2 linked regions of the Lepisosteus oculatus genome follow. The protein of the gene in region 2 interacts with the protein of the main gene of each other region in a pairwise test. Links are inferred from orthologs where the notes say so. Each region holds a gene or a part of one and is shown on either strand. Other genes may lie near its edges.

Region 1 (7,848 bases), on a different chromosome or scaffold from region 2:
AAATGCAAGCTTTATATTCTAAAATTCTACCAAGCTTTGTATGCTTTAAGATTAGTGTATTAATATTTATAAGATGATGCTGCAGATTAAGAATAATTACGTTTTCCATGTAATCACTCTTTTGTTTCAAGCTAAGACTTTCTAACAAAAGGTTCCAGGACAAGGCAGCATCATCTAACATAGATTCCTGTCCCAGTTTGTTCGATATGCTACAGAATACTGCATTCAGGACTCACATCTATTAAATAATAAAATGAGTAAAGTGATCCAACACAACCGTTTCTCATTAGTCGTAATGGGATTAAATTATTTTATTGTGATTATCAATTCAGGGTGGTACAGTGGGTAGCACTGCATCATGGTCCTGGATTTAGAGCAGTCTAGGTGGAGTTCATGTGTTTGTCCATGTTTGTCCTGCGTGTTTTGTTTTGTGCCTGTGGATTTTCTCTAGATGCCTACCATAGTCCAAATACTGCACACACTGTCTGGGTAATTGGGATCTCAGAATGGCTCCCTGTTTGCTGGTTCGCAAGAGAGCCTTATTATGGATTTGTGTCCTTTCCAGGTTATAATCCTGCCTTGTATGCTGTGCTTACAGGGTTTTGATCCACTGCAAACCTCTAAGGATAAAGTAGTAACTAAAAATGGATGGATGGCTTATTAAAATAAGCAACACTCCTCAGAATGTACAAAATACAATTACACTGGACTGCTTCTCTTTAACAACAATGTCTGAAAGGGAAATAAGGAGTCATTTCTATGTTATTGCCATTACATTTTAAGCAATATTTTCTGGGCAAAGACCTACAGTACGCAACACTCCAGCCTATTAGAATGAGCAATCAGTGGCTATCACCTCTACTATTTAGTGAATACAAAATAGTAACACTATTATAACACTTCCTCCCACCAGTCGATTCAAGCATGATAGTTCTCAGAAAAATGTAAGATCAAAAGTCTGTTGTCATGCAGCTTTTTTTCCCCCTCCTAGTCAAGACCTATTTTTTGTTCTTTGTGTAACAGCGAGTTTTTTTTTTTCCATGTTAGCAAAGCTGTAAATCTCTCCCGACTGAGCCAGGAGAAGAGATATCAGCTTGCACTGTGGAGTGTGGTCAAGGACTGGATAGTTCTCATTGGACCTGAGAAGTGATAGGTTGTCTGGTTTCACACGAAGGGTAAAGAGACTGTCACTCCCATATCTCAAGGACAGAGGCCTCTTTGCCCTCTTGGGCCTGCAACAGGTGGCAGATTCTGTCCTCCCCTTTGCAATCATCCCTGGGGTTAAGTGTGCTGCTGGCAGAAGGATTATATCCAGTCTCATGCTGTTAAAAGGCTGAGAACTGGATTGTGTGTTGGGGCCAAACTGACCCTGAGAAACCCTCGCACAACTGCCTGAGGACCCAACAGCTATGAGACAGCAGCGCTTACTGCCATTCCACAGGGCCATGTCACTCAAATGAAAGCATACGGCAACTTCACCTTCTTCTAACTAACTGCACTAGAATTTGTATAAATCTGTGTGCCAAGTAAAATCGAAATCGCTGAGAGGTAAATTACGTTAGACACCAGGTCCCAGACAAGAAGCAGTTCTGTGATTTTGTGTTCTTTTCAAGTTTCGACAACAGAAAAGTCTAGAACTGTCCTTTTTCTAACCACCTGCTTCTAGTTCAATTTAATTTCAGGTCAGCTGTCAGATTATCCAATTAAGATGATTTATCCTACAAGACAAAGCTAACAATTTTCACGTACTACAGAAAGTAGCATTCTGAATACAAGAACGACACAATGCTCTGAAACCTTACAGCTGGGGTTTTTCTAAGCCGATCCAGATTTGTTTCACACAATCATCATCAAACCAAATCTAACGTAACTTCTGCTTCACTCTGTCCAGATTCTCTAAAGCTTTTTTTTATTAAAGCAAAATATGCCACAGCTGCACCTTGCCTGAAGCAGATCACAGCTGAGGATATGCCAAAAACATGCAGCCTTTGAGGACAATGGAAAAGTCTCAGTTTGCATTAGTCAGGAAATCCGAGGTTTCACTAGACATGTTTCCAAATATTAAACAGCTTCAAAATTAGCTGTCAAGTCTCATTTCTATATGTCAAAGCTTTTTTTTTTACAAATAAGCTGATATAGGGAAATTAGGAGCAGTAATTAAGCACAAAATCAGAGAGCAGCTGGGGAGGCATCAAGTTGGCAAAATGCAAGTACAGTTTGGTTTGCTGAAACAGATGCAGCAGTTATCTACAACAATACTGCTGGACCATTTCTGAGTTTTTTTTCTTTTGCTACTGTACACTCCCACCTCTTCAGGAATAAATTAATAAAAAAAAAACATTTGTGAAATAAAACAAAGTGGAACCAGCAGCAATAAACTCACATTGCTGCACTCATAACATCATATAAAGTAAGGAAAGATTCATTACAAGACACGGTATTATCAGTAAGCCCAAGTGGTTGTAATACTCTCTGGCAATTTCTACAGGGAATATTTTTTTGCTTCTTTCTTTCCTTCTAACCCACTTTCTAAAGCTAGACTGACTACTGTTTTTATTTTTTTGTTGTTTTTGGCTTACCTGACAAAATCTAATTCCCCAGTTCTTTTCATAACTACATGCAGTCTATTAATAGTTGATGACTGTTTTAAAGCAGATTTGTTTCACAGCAATGGTTTGTTTTCAGTCGGTATTCCCCCACTGAGGACTGTAACATTAAGTCTTCAAAACAAGGAGAAGAAGAGCAAGAGAAAAAAAAAGATCCATGCTGCTAATTCTGATAGATAGCCACAGCAAAAAAGACAACAAATAATCTTTTTTTTTTTCGGCAGTTTGACTGACACAACCCCTTTCAGTGCCTAGCAACAAATCCTCTTCCATCAAGCACAGGGCATTCTAACATATGCTCTGTCATGGTCAGTTTCTAATTACATTCATAACGATGTGATGGCGTTTGTAATCCTACCTTCCATGCCAGCTGCTTTCCCATTCACTCCATCACGCCAATAAGTTGGCGGCTGAAACCAATCTGGGCTGTGCAAAACGGCATCTTTTCCCTGCATCTGTCATCTTCCGGAGAGCATTCTATTACTGCCGACTGCTGGGAGCCAGAAAGTCTATTTGAATTCCAGCAGCTCCCTTCTTTCCTGCTTCAAGTTAGGCTAGGTGGGCATGTCTAACGTGATTCTCTCCATCATTTATTATGCAGCTGCTACACGATCGTGTCCTGCTAACCCTTTTTTTATCTGATACATCACTCGCAGTAACCTAGACCTTTCTGCTATAACACATCTGAAGCTACTACAGTAAAATCAAGGCTGCATGCACATCTGGATGTATATATATATACAGTACATTTTATATTTGGTTTTATATATGAAAAGGGAATACATTTTTTAAAATAGTAATTTATTTAAACATGCACATGCTGACACACTCTAGGTGTCAGAATTATCCTTCCATTCCTCTAAGATAGGAAGAATTAACATGAAAAATTGATTTGAAGGAACAGTTTTACCATGGTTAAAAGAAAATGCAGCAGAAGGCTAGTTTTGCAGGGATTTTATGACAAACTTTTCTTATCTGCATATCCACGCTCAGTGCTACACATACATTCAATCAATGATTTCCCAGAGCACACATCTAGAAAACTGCTGTTTGAAGTCATGTTTTCCATTGTCCTGTCAAGCTTGTCGTATACCTGCTGCTCTATAGACCTTGGGGCAGGTAGATTCTAGTGCGTCACTTTTTATTTTTAATCTTCTTTTAGATTGAAGTATTTTATGTTTAGTACAGGTGGGCATTTCATTTAGGAAGCTGAAAATACAAACCCCTCACCCACAAATCTCTTTTCTGCAGGTGCAACGTGTTTTTTTTTCCCTGTGTAAGTCTTTCACAGTGACGTAACCACTTCTGTCCCGAAAGAATGAAAGCTATGGGAAGCCTGCTGAGTTATACGACCAGTCTTTTGACCGACCAGATGCGTTTGCATGTCAGCGCACTGTGTGGTGGGGGATGCTTACGAGACAGAAGATTGAATCCCAGCAGGAGATAAACTGTGCATGTATCAGAGGCTTCACATTCAAGGAAGCTATGATGTTTGCTCCACTCCTGACTTTGCCACTGTAGTTAACGTTACTACTCTTTTGTGTTCTTTTCTGTCCATTGAGACTTTTTTGCAGACTCCTCCACAGTAAGGCTTCAGTAAGAGTCCTTATGGACAAACTATCACTGTATGTTTTCTCCTTTCTTGAATATAATTTGCCTAGCTTCATTTCTCTCAGCACATTTTCAGGCTCACCGTTTAAAAGAACGCTTCCAAATGTTCCTCTTACGTACAGTAGCTGAAGTTAAATGCTCCCTGTTATACTTCTTTCTGAAATGGTTAACACACTTTGTTTTTTACAAGTCAGTGTTCAGGAAACCATGCTGTACATATAGTTTTCCATTTGCATTTGGATGTAGAAGGTGTGCCCATTATTTTGTCTGCCAGATGTGCAATGTCTTCTGTCTTAACATTTATAATTATTTTGCAACCTTTTAAAATACATTTGAATATTACAAAGAAAACCTTTATACTGAATCAATTTAGACAACTTTTAAAAAGTGCCCATAATTCATATTATAATTTTAAAGACTTCACAATGCATGCGCACAAAGGTGTAAAACATTTGAAAAGCCCAACATGGAATCTAAAACCACAATAAAAAATGCCATTGGTAAGAGTGTCAAGGAAGGACACAATGCTAAAATCAAGGCACCAGTAGTGACTAGACATCAGTATATCATGTTGTTATACTGTATGTGTGCCAAAACACCAATATATTATTTTTGAATCCCTTTAGAATAGGGTCTAGAAGCAGCTCAATACTGCATTCATTCAATCTGATTGAATCGTTCAGCGATTTGTCTGACCCTGTTAATATACACCTTCTCATAAATTTAGAACCTTTCAACATGAAGAAAGAAGCTTTTAAAGCCAATAAAATAACAGGGAGGCAAGTATGCAACAATGATATCCAATCAGTTTTGCACTGCATTTCAATCAGCGCAGAATGCACAAAATTGCTGATCCTCTTAAGTTTGCTCTAAAAATGGCAAAACTCTGCACAAAAAAGAGCACAAAAACAAAGCCTTTTTCTAAAGTACATTGTTTTCTTTAAAAAGTCAGAAATATTTTAGCAGCTCGCAAACTGAAAGGCGTCTCATTTAAGCTGTCCTATAGTTATACACATTTCCAGGACACTGGAAATGTCCTCGTTAAACTGATTAAACTGATTTATTTAATCAATTCTTTTTTTGCCTCTTTTTTTATCTATTAAAATTTGGAGATAGCTTCATTACTTTTCTACTGCTTTTTCATCTCTGTCTGTATGTCTGATTTAGATACAGACAGATTTAAGTTTCGTTGCCCTAATATACTGTCTTCTGCTATTCTTTTCAATATCTATCATTGTCACTGGAACTACTGGAATAATTTGACGTCAGTGATTTTATTGCAGTGATTAAAGCATAGGTTTACCAGTGAACTTCACTTGCGGTCATTCTTATTTGCAAATGTAAAAACAACAAAGAACCTCATTAAAAAAAAAAACATTTTGCAGGACAAAATTAAAACCCGCTTCATTTTTTTCACTACCCTTTTCTAAATGAAGTTACTACGCCTATGAAGACAACTCACACTGTGACATTAATGACTGGTAGAATTCAAATGAAGCAGTAAATGGGAATTCTTCTGTATTGACAGAACCAGCAGCCAGAGGAGCAGAAGTTAGGATCTGTCTTTCTCTCCCTGAACTGCCAGAGAAAGTGGATTTTGCAGTGTACTTTGAGGATAATTCCCTTGCTGGCCCACAACTACAGAAAGAGATACATTTCAAATCCTGTCTCAAAGACAATCGGTTTGGTGGCTTGGTGCTCAAGGGAGGTCTGGAGTGGAGCATCCTTCTTCGAGAGACAATATCCTGTAAATGGTCTTGCTTTAACTGTTTGTTCTGGCTGTGAATCCCTTGTGGTAAAATAATGCACTAAAATATCTAAATGGCTTTGACAGTAACTGGTGCACCTTTTGTTTAATGGCAATGAAGAAATATAAATAGTGGCAATTCAGTTAATAAAAAATGTCATTTAAATAAAGCCTCTTGGCAAATATTCATAGAGGTGGGGGATTATGGCATTTATATAGGACAAATCGACATTTATTCTCATGATAGTGACATATGCAGTAGCATGTATTGTCACCTTCTTTTGTTTGGCTGTTTTATCTTTGACCACTCTTACAAAGCAACGTCTTGCTACAGGTCTTAATAGAAGGTCTGTTGCCAAGACAACAATATCTAGACCCCTAGAATAAGTTACAACAAGTTACAAAGGAGTTTTCAAGACATGATCTTCAAATTTGAAATTCTGAAATCTAGACAGCAGTTTTTTTTTGTGAAGAACTGTTGGTGAACAGTGTTGTACTAAAGGTTGTGAAACGAGATTTCTGAGACAATTTGGGGTGTGACTGGTTTTAAGTGCCATCAAATTAGTAAGAATCTAAATCTTGCCAAGGAAAAGCACAAGCAGATACAACATCACTATTCTGTGCCATCTCTACACTTGCAGACTAAAATAATTTTTCACCATGACAAGGACCCGAAATACCAAATAAAACATTCTTTTGGTCAGGAAATATATGTTTGGCAGAATATTGTATGTTAAAAATGTAAAATTATAAGCTATCATGAAGTTCTGTTTCAGTGAAGCATTCTGACATTATTTCTTAGGTTACCAGAATAATAATGAGCTAAATGTTGCAATAATCAATGAATTTCCAATGGTGAAAAGCACACATATAGTACCATAGTTCACAACAATTGCATTAATAAACTGCAGTATACTAAGAACTAGGGCGTTTGTAAAATTAGGAGTATAAATGATAAATCACAGAAATAAGAAAAATGAATGATTTTGAAACAATGCTATCATGTATTTTTTTGTTATTGTCTGATAAGAACAAAAATGAGAGAGTGAACAAAAAAAATAAAAATAAAGAAGTCCTCCAAAGTTGGGGGGGTGGGGTGTAGGTTGGTTAAAAAAAATAAACAATGATATCATGCAAAATAGCTGTCCATGATTAATCAACAAACACTGTGAACACTGCACTGATGTAACAACTATGAATACTATATTAAGCATTATTAAATGCAGCACATTTAAATATTTACATACAAACCAATAGCGAAGGAACATATTTGTCAAAAACTGAGGCCTAACTGTATTTCACAACAACTGGTGTGTTTGTCAAATAAGCCGAGCCATGCAGCCCGTTGAGAGTTTATCAGAAACAGCTGGTCTTAAAAGATATGAGAGAGAAGCTGGAAGCAAACTGCTAAACTGATCAAGTTCACCTAAAAAGACCGATGAAAGACCTGACTGCAGGTTGCAAAGGGCAGGTTCCCTAGCCACTGATGATAGTACAGAAGAATAGACGCAAAGGATAGGTGAGGTTTGAAGAAGAGACTCTACAGGGAAAGCTTCACTGGTGATTGCACTAGCATGTCATTTATATTGCTAATAATGTAATATTTAGTTTGTCACACATACATTGCACATGACCCTAGAACTGGAGTGGCAAAAGTGCTACCGTTAATCTAGGGATCTTTTTGCCTTCTTTAAGTCTAAGAGATTCATTATCTGGATACTTGGAAGTATTACAGTTTAGCAAACAAAATATTAAATTAAGTAATTTCGGTCTGAGAAGCAGCACTATATGCCTGGGACCTGTGCTCATCGAAGCTGCAATGAAAAATAAAGAAATACAGAAATACATGATATCATCATAAAAAAGGGGCTCTGGAGCCATTGA
Region 2 (7,110 bases):
GCACAGAAAGTTATACAGAAAACATCCTGTTAAGTCATGTGGAAACACAAAGCTATCACAAGCACGTTGCCTGTAGGCATAAATAAATAAATGAGAAAATTCAAAATCTTTTCTAAGAAGAAGTGCAACAGAAAAGGGGTATTTTAAGAAAGTAAGAATTTAACAAGAAATAAGGAAGTCCAATACCAGTAACTGAAACAAAAGCGATTCTCCTCCATAATCATTTTTAATCTCTAGGCTGCTCAGGCAACAAAACATGACTAATGGCCTTTGAACAGAAATAAAAATGTCAAAACTAGTAAGATACAGCAGACGACAGTGACGAAAGGCCTTCATAATACAGTTTTTACATTTCTTTGCTTTTTAAAAAGCATAAATGAAAGACAGACTAAGATTAATGGCAAACCGATACAGCATAAAACGCAAATAAACAAATCATTTTTTTTTCCTGTGGAGGAATTATTCTACATCACCTTTAATTTCGTTTTTTAACCAGCAGAAAACCATTCATAGCTTCTAAGAACAATATTACAGACTATTTTAATGTTTCTGTTTCTGTTTTCTGTAATAAAGGCACAACATCACAACTTGAGGTACAGAGTACTCTATTTGACTTCTGTTGTCTCTCCACAATATTTTTTTTCTCTATTAACAATAATCTCCCTTCAGATAATTCCAAAATACAGAATGCTATGTAAAACTGCCTCTATCGGATTTTCTGCCTGTGAAAATGCAGACCCCAAAACTGTAAGATTACAAAGCTAAAAAAACTGATAAAGAGAATTCAAAATGTACAGAATTCAAATTCTTTTTGTCAGATTAATGTGAAGTGTCTACTTATGCTACATACTGCAGATTCACTGCTCAGACTCATACAGTATGTATGTCAGCGAGAACTTGAAAAACAAGCTCCACACATGATCAAACTTCAAAGACTTTATTAACGGTCATCTGAAAAACCTTGTTTTTCGTGTGCTTGCTTTATGTGCTCACTAGTTTCAGGTTTACTAGAAATATGGCTTCCCTTGTTGGAAAATCGTGTCATTCAGGCCAATGACGTTTGGATTAATATAGACTGGTTTTATGTTAAGAGACGACTTTATGCATAAATAAATACACAAACAATTCTGACATTAGCACCGGGGCCTTCGTTTGTTTTTAAACTAGCAAGTAGCATCTATGTTTATTCAACAACAATAGAAAACATCTCTGATCTTGAAGACGGGGGTAAACTTTTCAGGCTGTCTTGGAAAAGCGCACACAGTATCTGCATCAGGGTTGAGGACTCGAGTTCCCTGTGATATGACGAGTTGGGAAAGCTGATTGGACTGAACGTCGGACACGCAGCTTTGCTGTGCTGTAACATCTCAAATTCAACTTTGTCCTCAGATCTGCGTTCTGTGCGTGCGTGTCATTCAGGAGACACGTCTAAAATGCTTGCTTGCCCGTACTACAGTTAAAAACTGTAGAAATGCGACGATCACAGATTAATTCACAATTCTAATGTAAATCCCTGCAGTGTGAATTTTCAGATTATTAAAAAAAAAGTTAGCCTAACGTCCGATCATCTACAAATTTGAATTAAACAGCAGTCATGGGAAATTTCATTTTTTTAACCAGGGCTAGATGTGTTACTTTAAAACCTAAGGGCAGTCAGAGGTTTTATAAACGCATTGCGTGACTTCCTAAAATATCATATATTGTGTTACATGTTTCAGCATTTCAAAAAACATTTTGGGTCATGCCGTTTTTGTGCTCATCACGCGCGATTAATTTCCCCAAAAAAACTCCTTGCAAACTTGCAGTTCACAGAACTCGGCTGACGTTTCGCTCAAAAGTTGGCCGCAGTGCAATTTCTTGTAACGAATCTGGCTCAGGCGGGTAGTGGTAACTGTGATCACAAAACAGATGCAAAAATAAATAAACATTTGGATACAACTGAAACCAACCAACACTATGAATAGATGTGAAAATGTTTTCAGGGGCGTTTGTGTTTATCAATCGAACTCGCAACATTGTTCAAATCCGAGTTTTTACAGCTTCAAAAACCGGTGCGGACATTGAATTGTAAAACAAAACTACAGTATTTTACAGTTATCGAACCGCAAACTATTAACGTTCAAAGAAGATATAACATAAGAGAAGAACATGCATAAAACACCGATGATGTCAATCGTGTTTAATAAAGCGCAACGCAGTTGAACAGATTTAGACCTCGCAACGCTTTATAGTAAATAACGCCAATAATTACCTGGCCTGAACCCAGCATGGTGCCGGTGGCTGACGTGCGTGATGCTGTCAGTGTCAGAGATCGGCATGGAGGGGACTTCGCCCCCTACCTTCACCATCCCGGTAAACATTTTTTTTGCAAGGAGCAAAAAAACAAAACAAAACAACAAAAGCTGTTATGTTTCCAGAAACGATGAACGGGTGAAAACGGACATCTTTCCAGTCTGCCTAGGAATTCCCTTCTCTGGCGGAGCTCTGCAGAAAGAAAATCACACTGAAGTCATTTCCGCTCGGGAAAGTGTTTCCCCTAAAAATAAAATTCCAAGACTCGCACCGCTTCCTGCGCGTTTTGTGTCCCCTGTGTGGCCTGCGTTAAAAGAAGACGCCGGCGTGTCTTTAGTGTGTTTCGTCTTCAGCCTGCAGCTCACTAACAGCACTGCCCTTAAACCAGGCAAAATCCCAGGCAGCGCTTGATGACAATTCCTGCCACTTCCCAGTGGGAAGAATAACATTCGCCAGTTTGATTTTGTTTTTACGGAGCGCGGCGCAATCTTCCAAGGGTTACGCAGAAAAAAAAGGCTCGGCGCTTTCTGTTCCGTGCTAACATTTTCTGCCGTCGTATTCCAGATACAGCCCGCGGCGCTTTATGCCGTTATGCGCTCCATTGTGAAGCCCAGGAGTTTCCTCTGGCCGTGAGATGAAATCCGAAACCGCACGCAGTGCCGGAGCCGCCTCCTTCGGCTCTGGGGTGACTGGGAAGCGCTAGCTGGATGTGCAAACGAGTTAAACAACGAAATTATGTTGGGACGCCACTTAAATGGTCACCATTCATTCTGAATATCAAAAGCGGGTGTTTTTTTCCCGTTAAAGACTAAACTGTATTGCATTTGGAAAATGTGTCAAATGGTGTCGATGGACATGAAGGCGGTGGTCTTCCTGTTGGGCAGGAATTTCCAATCCCCCCTATGATGTGTGTCCACCCCCCTTCTAAGATAGTTTGGCCTACAAAAACATCCCACAGGACTTTAAACAATCTCTCCTCGATTTGCGAACCCTTATTTCTCGGTGCACAGCCCCCAGAAGGTGATGGGTTTCCGATGAACAGATCCAGGCGAGACGGACGTTGTGTCAGACACCCTCAGCGAGCTTTGCTTTCCATCTGCCAGGCGGTCCAGGCGTTTCCATTTCCGACGTCACACCTGTGCGCAGGTAGTTCTGAAACACAGAATCTGGTACAGAGTTGATTCTAATTAAGACATGAGAGGTTTTCAAAAGTCCCACTGGACCTTTTCACGTCCATCCACCCATGTTCTAGCCCCTTGCTCCTGCTGAGGGTTGCTGTGATGACTGGCCGAGCAGGGCAGCCCAGAATTTCCTTTCCTTTCCCCGGCAACAGTCTCCAAGTCCTCTTGCGGGACTCTCAGGAGCTCCCAGACCAGCTGAGAGAACCCTCCCCCCCCAGCCTGTCCTGGGTCCACCCTGGGTCCTCACCAGATGCCCAGCCCTTCTCAACTGACTCCTCTCGATCCAGAGGAGCAGCAACTCCACTCCAACGTCCTCAACTCTGTGAAACAGACTAAAGTAACTGTTTTTTAAATACTCCATTGCCCCCAAATGGAAAACTGAAATCGACTAGACTGCAACTGTTCATTTACAGTATATAGCTGACCCTTTTATCCAAAGGTACTGTGGAGATGGCCTTGTGTGTAAGGACCCTTATATAATTAATAATAATATCTTCTTAGACTTATATAGCGCTCTTCTGGACACTCCACTCAAAGTGCTTTACAGGTAATGGGGATCCCCTCCATCACCACCAATGTGCAGCCCCACCTGGATGATGACAGCAGCCATAGTGCACCAGAACACTCACCACACACCAGCTCTCAGTGGGGAGGAGAGCAGAGTAATGAAGCCAGTTCAGAGATGGGGGTTATTAGGAGGCCATGATTGATACGGGCCAATGGGAAATTTATCCAGGATACACCCCTACTCTTTTCGAGAAGCACCCTGGGATTTTTAATGACCACAGAGAGTCATGACCTTGGTTTTACGTCTCATCCAAAGGACGGAGCCTTTTTACAGTATAGTGTCCCCGTCACTACACTGGGGCATTAGGACCCACACAGGCTGCAGGGTGAGTGCTCCCTGCTGGCCCTACTAACACCTCTTCCAGCGGCAGCCTCAGCTTCTCCCAGGAGGGCTCCTATGCCGGTTACTGACCAGGCTCACACCTGCTGAGCTCCACTGGGTTGCCAGTTGTGAGTTACAGTATACAGTATGAGCAAGACTTCAGTGTTTGCAAGTTGCAGAGGTTAGGCGCTCAAGTGCTGGTGGCAGAGCAGGTGCTCAGTGCTCAGACATGAGAGGTATGTGCTGCCCTGTGATGATGCACTTCACACATGTAAGCAGAATCGAGTTTTACAAATAAGAATGACCTGATAAAAGCAGAGGGAAAGCATAAGAAATTGTTCCCAAAGTGTTGCCTTGGGTTTGATCATTTCTAGTGAAACACAAACTGCAAAACCCCTTCCTCTCTTAAGAATTAAAATAATTTGATAAGGTAAAAACATGTGAAAGCCTAACTTATAATGTTTTTTCTTACCTTTTGCTACCAAACACCACCACATATCTTAGTATATTAATAGTATATCAATGTATCAGTACTGCAGTTAACAGAGCCCCTCTAACAGGAGATGAAAAGACATTGCTTGTGCAGCGCTGTCTCTAATGTGCTCTTCCAGGCAGCCAGAGCCAAAAGGAATGCCCGGGCCATTTTGTGGCGAAACGGAGCTTTGCTTGGAAGTCTACTGTATGGTCGCAGTGTCGGGGTGGGGGACGTATCCACTCCGCCGAACTGTAATTCAAGTTCTTTCATGCTGCTTCTAAACAGAGGTGCACTTGTTCCCCGTCTCCTCTCCTGTCTCGGTAGACATGAACTCTCTGTGAGAGAGCATCGCCTTTTAAACCAAGCCGGGTGAGAATGGCATGTAGGCATTTACCCTTTCAGCTGCAGAATAAATGAAGGCGTTACACACTGGCCCCCAGCTGGCCAAGCTTGAAACTGGAAATGAGATCTAGTTTCAAAATGATAAAAAATACACCGGGTGCCAAAGAAACTGCATTAGAGGTTATGAATATGCCATGCTTTGCCACGTTTTCAGTTGACATTCTGGGAGATGCAAAACTGTACCGCGGCTGTGAAGTCGTGTCCCTTTCGGTTGTTCATTGCGTCGCAAGGAACAGAATATAATTAAATTAAATGAGGCGTTTAACTCTTTCTTTCAGTCTGGTCAAGTGCAGGTTCATACACACATTTGTTTCAATCCGAGTTTATAAAGACACGTTAAGGGCAAGGGTGGTGGAGGGATCACAGTTTCACCGTGCGTGCCTTTTGCTCTTTACAAAAATGTCAGTGTCTGTTAAAGACAAAATATACCCAGCAGCGCTATCGAAGGTTCATTTTTCGCCACTGAGGAAGATGTGTCTCCCCGCAGATAACCAGCAAAAGTGAAAAAGTTCAACCGTAGCTCGGCATTGCCACCTAGTGGGAAGATGCTGAACTGCAGTTATTTTTAATAAATCGGGTTTATGTTCACTACTACTGCAGTTGCACATAATAATAATAATAATAATAATAATAATAATAATAATTGCTTACACTTATATAGCAATTTTCTGGACACTCCACTCAAAGCGTTTTACAGGTAATGGGGACTCCCCTCCACCACCACCAATGTGCAGCCCCACCTGGATGATGCGACAGCAGCCATAGTGCACCAGAACGCTCCCCACACATCAGCTACCAGTGGGGAGGAGAGCAGAGTAATGTAGCCAATTCATAGAGGGGGATTATTAGGAGGCCATGGTTGGTAAAGGCCAATTGGAAATTTGGCCAGGACGCTGGGGTTAGACCCCTACTCTTTTTGAGAAACACCCTGGGATTTTTAATGACCACAGAGAGTCTGGACCTCGGTTTTACGTCTCATCCAGCACCTGTTTACAGTATAGTGTCCCCGTCACTATACTGGGGCATTAGGACCCACATAGACCACAGGGTGAGCGCCCCCTGCTGGCCCCACTAACACCTCTTCCAGCAGCAACCTTAGTTTTTCCCAGGAGGTCTCCCATCCAGGTACTGACCAGGCTCAAACACATGTTTATTGCTATGGCTAGGTTAACCCATTCATTAGCTACCTTATTTGCTAAGCATTAAGCTTTTGCTCTGAGTTTGGAGTATTGCATGGTGCTGTTTTTAAGCAAAGGTTTGAACGTTTATATTACACATACAGCATGATATTTTGTGAGGCATAGATATTTGATCTGTGCCTGACCTTGTGAATTGGCAAGTGAATGGGCGCTAGTTTTTAATCTAACTCACCGCATTTTTTAAGGAAACACTTGTGACTATCATACACATGGAAGCTTACTGCTGTATTCACTTGTAAGAGAGAAAGCTGCTCCTTGACATTTTGGCAATTAGAGAATAAAGTCAGTCAAGATCAGCAACAAACTAAAATGGTTACACCGAAGAGCAGACCATTCAACTCACTCACTGCCTTTGGCTGTAAGTAGCTCATTGATGCAAGTATCCCATCCTGCTGTTTCTTGAAGGCTCCCTAGGAACATGGCTTCAACACAGCAAACCAGCATGTTCAGACACCCACAAAAAGGGCTTCTTGTTCCAAGTTCTATGACACCTTCTTTCCCGTGACCAGTAACTTCCAATCCATGGGGATTAACTCTGTCATTGCCTTTTATGATTTTCAACACTTGGGTGCACTTACAGCCTTCATGCTGTCCTGAACCTTACTACCGGAAAAGTACTCCCCTGTGTCACAGCTGAGGAAAGTGTTCCAATCTTCCAGTTAATATATGGCC

The links.
Region 1: the proteins of disc1 (region 2) and dmd interact in a two-hybrid assay, tested with the Homo sapiens proteins (2 studies listed by BioGRID and IntAct). The link is inferred for Lepisosteus oculatus from reciprocal best matches to the Homo sapiens genes DISC1 and DMD.

Annotation. Positions count from the first base shown.
Region 1 is NC_090710.1:29,679,175-29,687,022, reverse strand, and holds the start of dmd (dystrophin), read right to left. Parts: upstream 3,080-7,848; 5' UTR 3,062-3,079; coding exon 2,965-3,061; intron 1-2,964. UniProt on the Homo sapiens protein: Anchors the extracellular matrix to the cytoskeleton via F-actin. Ligand for dystroglycan.
Region 2 is NC_090712.1:5,086,717-5,093,826, reverse strand, and holds the start of disc1 (disrupted in schizophrenia 1 protein), read right to left. Parts: upstream 3,026-7,110; 5' UTR 2,361-3,025; coding exon 2,252-2,360; intron 1-2,251. UniProt on the Homo sapiens protein: Involved in the regulation of multiple aspects of embryonic and adult neurogenesis. Required for neural progenitor proliferation in the ventrical/subventrical zone during embryonic brain development and in the adult dentate gyrus of the hippocampus.